2 linked regions of the Neodiprion lecontei genome follow. The protein of the gene in region 1 binds, or shares a complex with, the protein of each later gene. Links are inferred from orthologs where the notes say so. Each region holds a gene or a part of one and is shown in the gene's direction. Other genes may lie near its edges.

Region 1 (9,880 bases):
TGACCCAAGTTTTTGAACTTTGGTATGAGATTCAATATGAATGTATTGAAGTTTGAAGTGGAGTCGAATTTCTGGGATGGTTATTAATTTTGGATTGTAAAATATCCTGACTTTTTCAGGTTTTCCAAATTACCAAATTATAATTTTTCAGATACCTTTTGCGTCTTTGAAAATTATAATGCTGAGTGCAAGATTGCACGACTCGCAATAAATTATTATTTTTATTTATTTTAAACTCTTCATTTCACTTTTATTCAAATTTTTCATTCAACAAGGATACAATAACTACTGTTTCACCCGACGTGAATTTCGATTGGACAATCGCCAGTTGCTCCGTTGATGACATCGCTGAGTTTTGATCTAGAAAAAACGTAGATAAATTTGGGCATAATTATTTTTTGTGTCATAACTTACGTAAGCTAACAGTTGAGAAAAAATACAAGTGAAAAATTGCTGCAATTGGATATTAGCAATAATATAATACATTTTACAATGTGGTAAACATAAATAAGTATGTAATGGAAAGCTAAACAATTTTGTTCGCAACTTCTGGTATACTATATTTGAGTTTTGAATTTTTTGAATTGAATCAGAAATTCCACTTGAGCATTATTTTGCTATTCTGAAAAAAATTTATAGTTCAACAAGCGTACTCATTTTAATTACTGCAGTCCAATTCGAAATGAAAAGAACATAGTAAATGGATAATTCAAAATGAAACAAGATCGTTAAATTTAGGATTAGCGCAGTAAAGTCTAACAGCTACGAAGCTTTTAATTTTTTTAAAATTTAAATAACAATAATTGTAATTAGATTTAAATACAGGTGGATACACAAACACAAGTCCAAGAAATTTGGATCTGCATTGGATTTTACATTAAAAAAAAAATGATAACGTAATGTAATAGAATTAAAGTTATGCAGGAGGATTCGTCGCAAAACAATATATCAAACTTATTTAAAGATATACGATGTAATTCAGACGCAGTCGATCTTTAAAGACTGAAACTGAATTACAATGAGGAATGTAATGAAAGTAATTGATGTTAAACGACTGATAACAGCATGAGAAAAGTAGCCTAATATAAATCTTAAATTTGGAAAATTGTTATAGGAGTTATTCAGTGATTTCAAGTATTTTGCGATGTGTGTATGAAACTAGTCAGCAATAGCTGTTTACACTTTTTGGTTAAGTTGGATTTTGAAAAATGTAAGTAATGCATTTGGCTAGTAAATTATCAACAAAATGTTGTTTGTTGTAACGTTGGCGAAATGATAAGGCTCAGTTTTTATCAGTTTTTATTCACCGCCTGCATAATACGAATATGAACAAATGCCAATAATCCAGGAACGAGATTTTACCTTCCACTGGATGTAACTACAAGCAGGGAAATATCCCTGATAAAGTTTGCAAAGAAACTTTCTTCGTGTTTCAGTCCGTTTTTAAACGGAACCCTTAGGGCAATTGTGGGCGTATTGATTTATAGACAATGAGAAAAGTTAATTACGAGATTTAAGTGATTGTTAAGTCTGTGAGGCAGACGCACGCAGAAGTGACATTTCCACTGAAGCATGAGTCAGTGACTGAGGCCGTGTTCGAAAATTGACTGACAGTACTGTCAACAATCTTTTATCTCTTTTGTGCTGCCGAGTTCATGGACAGCTCTGTCTCTGTCCTAGGGAATTTTTAGTACTGGCAGTCAATTTACGAACACGGCCTAAGCTGTAATAAAGACAATTTTCTTCTGATTTCCGAAATCCACCGTGTTTCAGTGTTGAAAACCACTGTTCAAAACTCCCTATGTGGTTACTCCAATCAACGATTCTGATTGGCTGTAGGCGGTTGAGCGGCCGCGGGAGTTTTGAAATCGCGGAAATCGTCTCTACATAATAATACCCAACGTCTGTCCGTTGACTGAAGACTATACTTCAGTCAACGTATACATAGTCAAAATCTTTTGTCTACGATGAAGTTTCTGGTTACGGTAGCAATGAACGAAGATCATGTTAAATGAAGATTATAGTTACAGTCACAAAAAACGTACAATTTTCATATTATTGTAGTGTTGAACTACGAAATTCTATGTTCTAACGATGTGATGTTTGTGTTTTGTTGACACTTCTATATACGTAACGCTCCTGAAAACAAAAATACATTAAGTAATACTTCATTTTAAAGTTGGCGATATTTTAGATACAAGACACCAGCGCTGTCTAGGGGTAAATTTTTCAGTTGGTAAAATTAAGTCAGTGGCTTGTCCGTGGGTAAAATCTTCCTTCCTAGGGTCCTAGGTAAAAATTCTCGAAATGCGAAAAATCATGTGAAAAATGCACGGACGTAAGAAATATACAACCAAGCGATCTGTAGTCTGTGTTTTTTTACGGACGAACGCAGTGGAAAGTAAAAAGTAAAAGCCAGGGTGAAAACCATTGCTGAACGTAAAAAAGCAGGGATTTATGCGAAAATGGGTTGGTAGATGGTGGGAATAAGCGATTGGCCTGTGGACATTACTGACTGATCTCTATATCGGTGACATTACTGCAGGCGCAAATGTGCTGCAAATTATTGCAGTGGAATAGGAAAATATTATAGGAAGGTTTAATTATAATATCTAATGAAGTAATTTTTTAAAATGACAGCTTTGGCAAGAGATCTAGTTGAAAATATTCACGAGAAAGAAATGCAGTAAGTTAACATTTTCATCCAACAACCCGATTTGACGAGTCTTCCGAAAATGTTGTCATTTTTAGGTTAGGAATAAGTCAACCCCAATCCATACTCCAAAGCTATTTCTATACAAAACACGTTTTACTTAATTATTATATTTTCCTTCTATCTAAATGGAATCGAAGTAATTTTTTCACCATCTTTTGATTGTAAAATGGCGGAAAATTGAAAAAAAATGTATTCAATTTATGAGTATAAAGTTTGTAACGTTGATATAACGTTACATTTTTAAGAAAAATCATGTATGTCGTAACTTTAGAATCGTTTGGAACTCAGTAGACTAGAAATACGGCAAAATATAATGTTATTTTGAAAAATCTGACTCCTGTAAGGTAATTCTGAAGATGCAATATGGTAATGTTTTAAAAAATGATTCATGACATTGACTGTACGTAATTCAAGCTCATCTTTATTTCTGTTTTAAACTTTCAGTTTCGACCAGCTGACATACAACTGGGTTGATATCACAAATGACTTCTTCAGTTCCGTGCAAAGTAAGCAGTATTCTCATTGTATTCTAGAAATTATTAGTTGTATGTTTATCCATACTTTTAAAGCTTTTTGTGACCATCTTCTGGAAGATTGACGGATTGCAATTATTGTAATTTAATTGACTAACGTTACCTATATTCAGGCTTGGAATTGGGTGAACTTTTGCACGATGAATTATTCGGCCTATTTGAAGCCATGTCTGCTATCGAAATGATGGACCCAAAAATGGACGCCGGGATGTTGTGCAATCGAGGAAACAGCAAGCCATATTCGTTCAAACAGGCAGTAGACTCTGGGGCATTAAAATTGCATAATTTAACCTTGGCCGAAGTGATCGGAATCATTGATTCGACGTATTCTTGCATAGTCTCTTGGCTTGAAGGGCACAGTTTGGCGCAAACTGTGTTTACTAATTTGTACTTGCATCAGCCAGGTCAAATATTGGACAAGTCATTGCGAACATTTTGTTATGCAATTTATAAGATTATTGAAATTATTAAAGACTGTATTAACAAGGCTATGGTTTTTGAGGAGGAAGATTTCCAAAGCGTAACATATGGCTACAGATTACAACAGGATATTACAGAGCAAAAGACTATAGCAATGCTGAAAGAGGTGGAAGAGGAATTGCACAGAAAAAGTAGAATAAAACCAGTCGATGATGAGTCTAATCGAGAAGTAAGTCCTTTTTCTTGTATTTTATTAAAATGTTTTATAAATTTTAACTTGTGGTATCTTCGATACGCTTAGCTGCATCCTAAGATTTTACGATGTTATTATTTTATTACAACTCGAGAGTTATTTGTCCAAGTATAATCACATCATAGTCGAGATTGTCGATTACTGAGTCGTTCAAACTAGAACATAAATTATGAATGATTACAGAATTGCGACTGCGAACGTTGAGTAATTTGATTTTTTTTCCACAGTATAATGATGCTCTGGCCTTATATGCTAGAATAAGGTTCACAAAGATGTTTTATCAAACCCTGTCGCTCATGGGAAGGAAAGAGCAGCTCCATCAAAACTTGGCTGATTGTCAAAGGCTTTTATCAAACTGCTCTGACATGATGCAGGTCATGATAAAAACTGTTTCTCGAGGTGTAAAAGCTGACGAATTATGTTAGTATACTTTCTACCTGAGTTAATTAGGTTTACAAGCGATTATGACTATTTAACTGTACTGTTTAAAGAATTTGCAAACTGTAAAAATTATTTTCATAACTTGACAAGATCTTATTGCAAATTCAAATTTTTCCTCTAATGCAAAAGTATTAGATAACTACTGATTTTAATTTAAATTTCTTTGACTTTTGTAAACATGCGTTTTGAAAAACTTTTAGAATGACGTCAATCCTTATTTCAGGCGATCATCCAAACATTATGGGTTTTGACCCTATGGTAAATCAGCGGTTATTGCCTCCGACGTTTCCAAGATACACGAAAATCAAACCACGAAGTGAGGCCTTGGAGTACATAGATGAATTATTAAATCGATTGAAAACGGTCAGCAAAATAACGGGGTACACTAGCTTCCACGGCGCTTTGGTAAATAAATTGGCCATCAAATAACATACAAACATATCTGATTGTACAACAATTATAGTAACAATGTTCATGAGTTATCAAGTCCGTAAGAAAATTTACTTTATTGTGCCAAATGTGAAAAAAAAACCTTTTCCACAAATTACAAATAATGCTCCTGCTTTTAGGATTTCTTTTTAGAGTTTTCACGCCAAAGCCCATGCATACTATCCAGATCCATGCTACAAATCGTTTACCTGCCTCTAACCAATCGAGTTTTTGGAACTCAAAGTTTCGGTGATGTATTGAGAGATGCTGCTAGGGCTTTTATTGCTCCTCCAGCATTGATGCCGAAAATCACACTACTGCAGAATCACCAAGCAAAGGATTATGTTGATGGGTTCTTGGGCCACTGTGTATGCTTGTTCGGTAGTTTAGTGCAACTTAGTGGACACAATCGAGCGCGGCAAAGAGATAAACTGGCCCATTTGTTAGAAGACTTTGCTGCTCTACAAGATGAGGTATTTTGAACTAGAAACATCAACATTTGTAGCAAAAGTGAAAGAATTTGCAGAAAATCTATGCTGAGTAGTCAAGTCGAGTTTAAACCTCCGCTAATCAATGCAGCCCTAGTTGGGAGTTTAAAAAGTTGAGAAAACTGAAAAGAGTCATGCAATTGAAGCAATGTCCTGTAATATCACTTGATTTGAAATAACTGCCAATTTATTATGTAGTATTTTCCTGTTTACTGTTCATCGATTGATGAGTAATACACTGAGAAAAATTTCTAATTGTGGTTATCATACAGTCCTTAGCTACTTTTATTTTTCATCATACTGATAAATGTACTTCGGGATAAAAAATAGACAAGAGTTTTGTAACTGCAACCCGAATATCTCGTATGTGTTACTTTTCGTTTAATTAGATGGTCACTCCTATATTTTATTGTAACTTGCGTAATAATTCGATGTTGAGGCTACAATAAATTGATGTTAGAGCTTTATTCAACAAAAAAATAGATTTAACGTTGCAATAACCAGAAAATGTAGTTGTACCGTTACTGTATCGTTACTCATTATGCAAAAATTTAGAAGTAGTTATGACAAATGAGATTTTTCTCAGTGGATTGATCCTGAAATTAATTTTTACAGGCTGAAAGAGTGGATTCATATCTGCACACACTATCTTTGAAAAGCGACACTCCAAGGCCACACTTGGCATATTTTGGCACATGGATATTGTACCACACGCTGCGTGTGATGGTTATGTATTTACTGAGTGGTTTTGAACTGGAATTATATTCGGTCCATGAGTATCATTATATATTTTGGTACCTGTACGAGTTTTTATATGGGTGGCTTATGTCTGCAATCACAAGAGCGGACTCCTTTCTCATGGAACAAGATATTCATAGTGAAACTCACAAAGGCAGAGGGGCTAAAAAAAGTGCTAAAAATAAGAAAAAAAAATCCACCCCTAGACCATACAGTCTAGAAATATTAATGTACCAAGCTATGCAGAATATTTGTGGCGGGTACTACAAGGTCAAGATTTTTTTTGATTCTGTAATATTTCTTTCGAATCAATTAATTTATAAATTTACAAAATTATCTGTTGGAATGAGTTCAAGAATAACCAAAGACGCTGTTTGTCCGTTATTTATGTTGACATTGATGAGCCTCGTCTAAAGTGTGATATTTTCACAGGCGTTGATGGGATTTCGAATGGATAAAAAGATTCCTCTACCCGAATCACACTTTGACTCGGAGCGAGTGAGATACGAGCACAGGTTGTTGCCTTTTGCATCATTATTAACTCCTCCACCAGTTCCTTATCAGGAATTTCTAGACATGACAAGTGGGCAGATGTTAAACAGAGATGTAAGTTAGTAGTCTGTGTAAATCGTAGGTAAAAAGTAACATCGAACTTTTATAAGTCACATTAGAAGACAGCAGACAAACTGCCGAGGGAAATGCAATTTCTTAAATATTTTCCTGAGCCGATTTTTTGGGAGATTTTGTGCCATAGTTTCGTAAAGTATACATGTATAGTATGTAGGATAAAAATTTCGATCTGATTGCAATATGGATATGTTGTAGTCTCGTAAAAGAACGGTTAGGTAAACATCTAAAAAATGCAGGATTTCTATATCTTAGTGAACACTACAACATATCCGAACAACAGCCGGATTGAAATTTTAACCCTTAAAAGCTGGTCATAAGTTTGTGGACCGGCTCAGATACATCGGTATACTCACGTGTTCTTTTGCAATACAGGAAACTGTTACAAGTGAAAAGCAGTACCTGGCTGGTTGCGGACACTTTCATCAGGCTAGAAATATGTTAGAAAGTGCTCTGTCCTTGTATCCAGCAAATGTGCATACAGTTAATCAGGTAATATACATACACTTGGTCTATCACAAAGTGCCGATGAAATCATTAATACAATGTCGTTGCTAATTTAATACTTCGAAATTGTTTTCAGATTAATGATTTACTCAAAGTATCGAAGACGAATTTTATTGTCCTGAAACTTTTGGCTGGAGGACATAAAAAGGATTCGACGGAACCCCCGATTTTCGATTTTTCGTGCCACCAACATTTTCCGTTGATTAAACTCGCTTAGCTTGTTTTATAGTTACCTCAATAAATTCCCATACATACAATAGTTATACATACCTATATGTTTACAGTGGACTCTCCATACCTACTTCTCGGCCCAGCTTCTCCTTGCATACAGTACTATACGAATACGTACTTCACAGGGCAGCTCTAGATTTGGAAGTAAACCGAGACTAGTCAGGGAATCTTATGGTTTTGAAAAAGTCTAGAAATTGTACTCATCCATTAAGAAAATGTATTTTTTCAGTGAGTGATTGTTGTGCTTTACTCAATGTTCTGTAGGTTTTGACTGCAAATTTACAGAGTGATAGTATAACATGTATCAGGAAAGAATAATAGCACGTGATCTAAAATGGCGGTAGGAATTGAAAGAGTGGATTTTTTGAATTTGTAACGAAGCTTTACTCAAATTTCTTTCCCCTAATTTTACTTATAGATATCAGAGTGAACTGAATTTCTTTTCAAACGGTTATTGAATTATGGAGAGTCTATTGTATTTGTTTGAGGATTAGTTATGCGTCCAAGTAATTTTCATATTTATTAAAACTGTTTTGAAAGTTGTAAAAAATGTTAAAATTCTTTGTATGTTTCTTTCCATTCATGCTTTCGCATTCACGACAAAAATTTCTGTATTTCTGTAAATAAACTATAATATCCATTGTTAGAAATAGTTTCATTTTATTCTTCTCTCTCTCGTCACTTTACTGCGGGCTGTGTTTGCATTAAAATGCATCATCTGCCAAACATAGGACACCAAATTTACAAGTATCTGCCTTATGTAATAAAGGGATATCCAATTTCTCCGTTTTAAAGTTACGTTAGTAACTTATTGAACATAGAAGATTGGTGCTGTGTGTAATTTTCAGGATGAATGAGCCACATCGGTTGAATCAAAAGTTGCGAAAAGAGTAACAAGCCAGGTTTAGCCAATAAGCTCATTGCTTTTTTAGATATGTCATGATCGCACAGTGCTGATTGACCCGATACTTTCGCCAATGATGAAGAAATGGAACTTATAAATAAGCGTTTATTTATTACATTATATAATTAGCGGAGGTGTGTTGGTCAGCGGTTTAACTAGAATCTTGCTCACAAGAAATCCGGGCTTACATTACATCCACTTTTGAAAATAATTGCAATCTTTGTGCCAAAATGTACTTCCTAGATGATTTTAGAATTCCGTCTGAATCCAATGTTTTTTGCAATGGAAAATTTATAAGACACTCTTTGAGGTTTTTTAAAGATGTACAAAATGTTTTGACAACCATTGTAAGGTTTTAAAAATGATTAAGCTCTGGTATTTTTTAGATCCAATCTCAGTCCCAATTGTATAATGTTTTTGAGCTTATTTTATTCACTATATAGATCTCAAGAGATTGCCTGAAAAAAGTTTAGAAATAGTTACTTCTAGAGTAGACGAAAATATGTATTTGTAAGCACGTTACAACAAATGTTCGTCAGTAATGATATTTATATACTGTAATGGGGATTTTCATAAATGTTTTTCACACATCTTGCGTGGAACTGATCAGCAAGAAAAAAATTAGCGCTAAAACATTAGAATCTGATTAAAAACACCAGAGTTCAGTAATTTTTAACATTCTGCTTAAAAAAAAATTGTTCTCAAATTGTGAATATCTTAGCTTATGTCGTATTCGAGATTGTTCAGATTCAATCTTGTTAGGTAGTTGGTATGTTGAATTATGAGTGTTTACAATAATTGGCGCAAATAATGACGTTTTAATTTTTTTTTTTTCGGTGGTGTCTGCAACTTATATCGATACATATGTATATGAGGTATTCTATGCCAACTGAGAGGACATTTTCCCTGACCCCCGCCAATTTGCATCATTATTTTTTATACGGTTCTACAACCTAAAAAAAGCACTCGCCATTTTTTTTCAGATTTTTCGTCCCAACCATTCTTTTTTAAAAAATGTTACAAACCCACATGAACTGATATTGTACTGCATCGTTCATGAGAGTGAAAAAACAAAAACCGATTGCGAGGAAAAATAATCGAGTCAGTCGATTAATCGAATTTGAAAAGTGTTCGATTGTTTTGTTCATTCTCAGGCGATATCAAGGAATGAAAACAAAACACTAGGTGAATTACAGAAACGAAAGTGAAATTGACACTTTTCCAAGTATTTATTATTTCATCAAAAATCCAAGTTGCTAGTATCTAAGCATAATTGAAGTATACAATTATTACAACTTTGTACGATAAATCGTCGGTTCGTGTTACGCAGAAACGAAAAACAAAAAACCCGTGAATGCGATACATCATTTTTTTATTTTCTCTGTAATCGGAAACATTGTTTTACCTTACATCCGACTGATTGGAGATTGAAAAAGGCGAGAATATATAAAATATGGTTCTCGTCGTGGAAGTGGAAGATCGTACGATAAAAAAACCTTATTTGGGCGGATGGCGGCACAAGATTACCGGCGTTCAATATTTAAATGCAAATTCTCAAACCGGGCCTCGACAGAAACGAATACCATGGAACTC
Region 2 (4,845 bases), on another chromosome or scaffold:
CTATACGGAATACCTGGAAAATAATAACGGACAGTGAACTAAATAATTCAGAGAGATAAATATATTTCAAATATGTTTACAAAAAACAGAAAAAATCGTGCATTACCGTAGTTATTGCTGGAAGCCCATTTACTTCTAATCGTTACCTCTGTACACATTATAGTATCCGTAACTAATGGAGTGCTACATGGTTGACAAATTAACATATGTGATGCTGAATATTGATGTAAGGTTTATTAAATCTTTAAGCATGTAAGCTAAAACATGAAACTTAGAATTACACAGATGACGGAGGATGTGGCGGATGAGGAGGAGGAGGAGGAGGAGGAGGAGGAGGAAGAGGAGGTGGTGGTGGTGGTGGTCCCCAAGCATGTGAGGGGGAGGATGAGAATCTGGTCGTGAATATTGATGTAAAGTTTATTAAATCTTAAGTATGTAAGCTAAAACATGGAATTTAGAATTACATAGATGGCGGAGGAGGTGGGGGAGGAGGAGGAGGTGGTGGTCCCCAAGACATATGAGGGTATGGATAAGGATTAGGTCGATAAAAATTCGTTCCATAATAGGGAAAGTTAGGCCGAAAATTCGCCGGTTGACCAAACACATATTCTGGATTTGTTGGAAGACACATATTATTTTGTTGGTACCGATTAGTATATAGATGACATTGACACTGACTAGAATTAAATGTGCTGGGGTGTCTGTACCGATGAGGGGAAGACTGATTAGGCGAGTGAGTTACGTTTTGTAAGTTGGGCGAATTTTGAAATGAAGGCCGACAATTATCAGAGATCCATCGAAGCGTACCATGGCCGGAATTTGGATTTGGTGGGCGGTTACCATAGTTTTGAGATCTCCAGTCAGTGCCCCAAGGATTTCGAGGACGTTCTATAATAAGCGTATTAATGAAATTTCATAATATTTTTTATGCTATCACATTACCCGAAATTAGCTAACTTTGTTAAGAGATTTACAAATTTACTGAAACATACTTACCGGGGCATTGACGTTTTTGTGGGATCACTACATCACCACAGTTATCATGACTCTCTGACATTCCTGGTCTGTGACGTTGCTTTTGTCTTTGCAGCTGATTATAAGCTCGTTCCTCCTCATCATCTGAAAATTCTGGAGGCTCCATATCGTCTTCTCCAGAGATATCAGCACCTTTCAGCCTAGTAAGAGTTGAAAATACGTGTTTTCAAATGTTCACTAACTGACTTGGGAATCGATGGCCATGTACTGAGAGACTGCGATGTAAACTTAAGAGGTAAATATTTACTTGACTAATTCGTGAAGGAAGACCAGAGATGTGTGCTCATCGTTTAGAGAATAATATACTTCCATTCCCAAAACAATCCCCGATTGTTGAATGTGTGCTTCGCTGTTGAATCGAACACAATATTGAGGATCAGCCACATGACCAAATACATCAAACACCTTGCCAAGGACTTTTTGGCCTTTTTCAAGAAATAAAATTGAATCAAGATTTAGAGTGGGTTTACCCGAAACTGGTCGTACTATAACAAACTCCTCTACAAACCCAGTGACCTAGAGGCATATAAAATTATTATTTCACGAAAATAAAACAAAATTACATCATCTATTCTATCTTCCGTCAAATATAGAAATATTTACCTCGCCTAGGTGGTCACATGATTCTTCAGGTACTGTAATTTTCAATTCTTCGATTGGCGGTAGACCCTCAAACTCACTTTTAATATTTTTGATTTTTGGTAAATCAATTTTACTGACCCGTATAGGGCTGCAATGTAACAATCATACGTCACAAACAAAATCTTGTCCACACAAACTGCAGTATTCATCAACAAGCAATTTTTCACATCAGGTAAGGAATATTTAGCAATGTCTTACCTGTCTGATTCGCTATCAATATCACTATCGGTTTCTGTGGTATAATTGCTACCACTGGAATTTATACTACTAGATCCACTTTCAGAGTCATCATCTATAGACTCCATTCGATACTGTGTGTTATTTTGTCTCACATTGCCACGGTCATCAACAATGGTAATTACTTCGCATGGTGATGATGGTCTTTTTTCATTTTCATCCGAATCAGAACTTGCATATTCTGCCGCTAAATACGATAAGGAATTTACTACGTTTATTACCTCTACTTTGGAGATACCATCCCTTGAGTTTGAAGCTGCCTGAGCTTTTATTAAATCCATCGAAGCTGCGTTCTCAACGCTTTTGTCTTTTTGCATCAACTCATTTTGATCACTATTTTTGATCTCAATAGGCCTGTCATTCTGTGCGTCTTGAGCAACCAGTTGACCAGGCAATGTGATCAAATTTGCTGTCCGAGTTGCGTGTCTTTCTTGTATTTCTGGAGTATCAAGTCCATTTCCAACAACTTTCAAGGATTCGACATCATCTATGCTAATAGGTACATTAATCTGACCTTCCTCAGTGGTCACATTGGCCTCGACAGAATCATTTACTGATTTCATATACGAGCTGTCAATCTCCATTAGATCATGCTTCGAACTTGTTTCTGACGTATGTTGAAGCAACTTTATCGAGTCCGTAATTTCATCTTTCTCTGTGACATCTTTGATGTTAGAATATACAATTTTTACATCATCTACAGTGTCTCTTACATTCTCTTCACCGATATCCACCCTGCTTGATTTTGAGGTTAGAAGAATATCTTCGCGCTGATTCTCAGGGTCCCTTACGCCCTCGGAAGACATGGTATTATGATTTATTGGTAATTTACTTTGGTGTAGACAGTATTTTTACATGCGAAATGAACAATAGTTAATGATGTACATACCGCGGAAAGTTTAAAAAATACCATGCGCCATAGCTCCGCCGTCTCAGCTACTTTCCGCTCCCTCTAGCTCGGTATTATCTAACTTCCACCGAGTTTCTTCAACACTTTGATAGATGTCAGGAACGGTTTTATTTTGTCAACGATTTTGTTGTTGCTGGTTTTACTTGTGGAAAATTGCGCAAGCAAACTGATTGTAATTGTATAATACGTTTAGATTTTCACCTATCCTAATAAATCAACAAGAATATGAAAGACACGGTGCACAGCATGTCGACAACTCCAAATACTGAGGCTGTTCACGGTAACGGAGAGGTAATTGGATCGTGACAATTAGCGAATGTGACGGTTATGATAATTTAGAAAATTTTTGTCTAAAAATGTGGTATTATTTATTTCAATTAAAAATGACTACCTTTAGCTAATACAATCCATAACTGAACAAACACATGAGGTATAATTGATTTGTTTTAATTCATGTTTTTTTCAGGCCTTGCCAGTGGAGGAATCACCAGCCAAACTAAAATTGAGAGGATGGCTGAATCGTCACCTTAAAATCAAAATGACCGATGGCCGAGTTTTGACGGGGGCTTTTTTATGTACAGATCGTGATGCCAATGTTATTTTAGGCTCGTGTTCGGAATTCTTGTCAGAAGAACACACCGAAGCTAGAGCCCTGGGGCTTGTTATGGTGCCAGGTCGACACATTGTAACAATTCACTTAGACGCATAATTAATAATAAGTATAAGAATAAACTATTCTACGTCTGTACATTGACCAGTCAATACATTTTAGTAACATATTATCTTACGATTCTCTCACAAATATCAACATCCAGCACAACTGAAGTAACCTGTAAAGGTCATTGTTGTCTACAAAGTTATTATAATCGGCACAGCCCTCGGCTCAAACAAAATGATGGTTTTTGGATTGATATTCTTTAAAAGTAACATCGTCAGTCAGTGGAGACACCATTTTTGAATACCTAACCAGCTGACGTCAACGTTTAATGTAAACAAGTGCTGCGTGGCACGGTAACTGACAGAAGCAGAACCCCAAACGTCGTCGTGGAGTGAAATGTCAGTGTAAGATTCCACGGTGTTAAAATACCGTGAAGATCCAAACATCTTTGTGCAAACGGAGTGTTAAGATGCACGACGCCTACGAAGCTTCACCTCTCTTGAAATTGACAGTTCAGATCGAATCAATTACTGCTTACGGTAATGAGCGCCAAACATAACCTCAATCGTTCTACACCTTAACTGAAATAACTGTGCAGTATTCTAAATTATATATAAAACGCAACTTTGAATTATCAGTGAAACTTTTTACTTACAGATGATAACTTACTCATCGGCACTAGACAGGGACATTTGTTAATGTACAGTGTTCCTCCAAAGTCAAACGACAAACAAGAATTACAATTGCTTCGATACGGTAAAAACTTTAGCAAAAAACCTATTTTGCAGATCGAAGTTGTACCAGAGTACAACTTGTTGATACTTTTGACCGGTGAGTCGAATAAGAAAATAAAAATTTGAATTTTCAATTGCCAATAAGGCGATAACAATGTCCGAAAATCAATGTTTTAGACAACATCATTTGCGTACATGACTTAAATTCTGCAACAATCCCTCAAATATGTCAGTTGCAAAAAACGAAAGGTGCGACGCTCTTCGTGTTGGATGTACAACGTACTCAGAGTTTGACAGGTGAAAAAGATACAATTGTTCGCTTGTGTGTTGCTGTGAAGCGAAAATTACAATTGTACGAGTGGAAGGTGGATCAATTTATAGACTTTGGAGAAGAATTAACTGTTCCTGATGTGCCTCGAGTCTTGTCGTGGTACGAAACAAGTTATTAGATTGTAAAAGAAAAAGGTTGAGCAGCAATTGGTTGCATATCTTATTTAAATTTGCTCGGAACATTTTACGCTGTAGGTGCGGAGAAACTGTGGTTTTGGGATTCCGTGGATTATCTTATATACTTTTGGATCTAGATGGTACAAGTAAGGAATTATTTCCAAGTGGAAAGTCTCCTGAAC

What was found.
Region 2: the proteins of N-alpha-acetyltransferase 35, NatC auxiliary subunit (region 1) and N-alpha-acetyltransferase 38, NatC auxiliary subunit are in contact, whole or in part, in a cryo-EM structure (PDB 7MX2), measured with the Homo sapiens proteins. The link is inferred for Neodiprion lecontei from reciprocal best matches to the Homo sapiens genes NAA35 and NAA38. Residues at the interface, in NP_001308810.1 of Homo sapiens: Val30, Asp31, Ile32, Thr33, Phe36, Ala39, Cys40, Leu43, Leu45, Glu47, Leu48, Leu49, His50, Asp51, Phe54, Glu58, Ala59, Ala62, Ile63, Glu64, Met65, Met66, Ala72, Gly73, Met74, Gln306, Arg307, Leu309, Pro310, Pro311; in NP_001307854.1 of Homo sapiens: Ala41, Arg42, Leu45, Glu46, Leu48, Leu49, Arg61, Phe67, Leu68, Cys69, Thr70, Asp71, Arg72, Cys74, Ile77, Arg97, Val98, Leu99, Gly100, Leu101, Ala102, Met103, Val104, Pro105, His108, Ser111, Ile112, Glu113, Val114.

Annotation. Positions count from the first base shown.
Region 1 is NC_060266.1:18,010,141-18,020,020, reverse strand, and holds N-alpha-acetyltransferase 35, NatC auxiliary subunit, read left to right. Parts: upstream 1-2,514; 5' UTR 2,515-2,633; coding exon 2,634-2,686; intron 2,687-3,160; coding exon 3,161-3,222; intron 3,223-3,362; coding exon 3,363-3,898; intron 3,899-4,149; coding exon 4,150-4,342; intron 4,343-4,586; coding exon 4,587-4,768; intron 4,769-4,932; coding exon 4,933-5,265; intron 5,266-5,895; coding exon 5,896-6,288; intron 6,289-6,450; coding exon 6,451-6,624; intron 6,625-7,020; coding exon 7,021-7,137; intron 7,138-7,228; coding exon 7,229-7,369; 3' UTR 7,370-8,019; downstream 8,020-9,880. Other genes in the region: inositol polyphosphate 5-phosphatase OCRL, read right to left, coding at 281-346; IQ and ubiquitin-like domain-containing protein, read left to right, coding at 9,741-9,880. UniProt on the Homo sapiens protein: Auxillary component of the N-terminal acetyltransferase C (NatC) complex which catalyzes acetylation of N-terminal methionine residues. N-terminal acetylation protects proteins from ubiquitination and degradation by the N-end rule pathway.
Region 2 is NC_060265.1:27,128,123-27,132,967, reverse strand, and holds N-alpha-acetyltransferase 38, NatC auxiliary subunit, read left to right. Parts: upstream 1-2,905; 5' UTR 2,906-3,049; coding exon 3,050-3,115; intron 3,116-3,290; coding exon 3,291-3,533; 3' UTR 3,534-3,606; downstream 3,607-4,845. Other genes in the region: H/ACA ribonucleoprotein complex non-core subunit NAF1, read right to left, coding at 461-888, 997-1,175, 1,283-1,551, 1,639-1,765, 1,876-2,720; vam6/Vps39-like protein, read left to right, coding at 3,952-4,021, 4,140-4,313, 4,394-4,646, 4,742-4,845.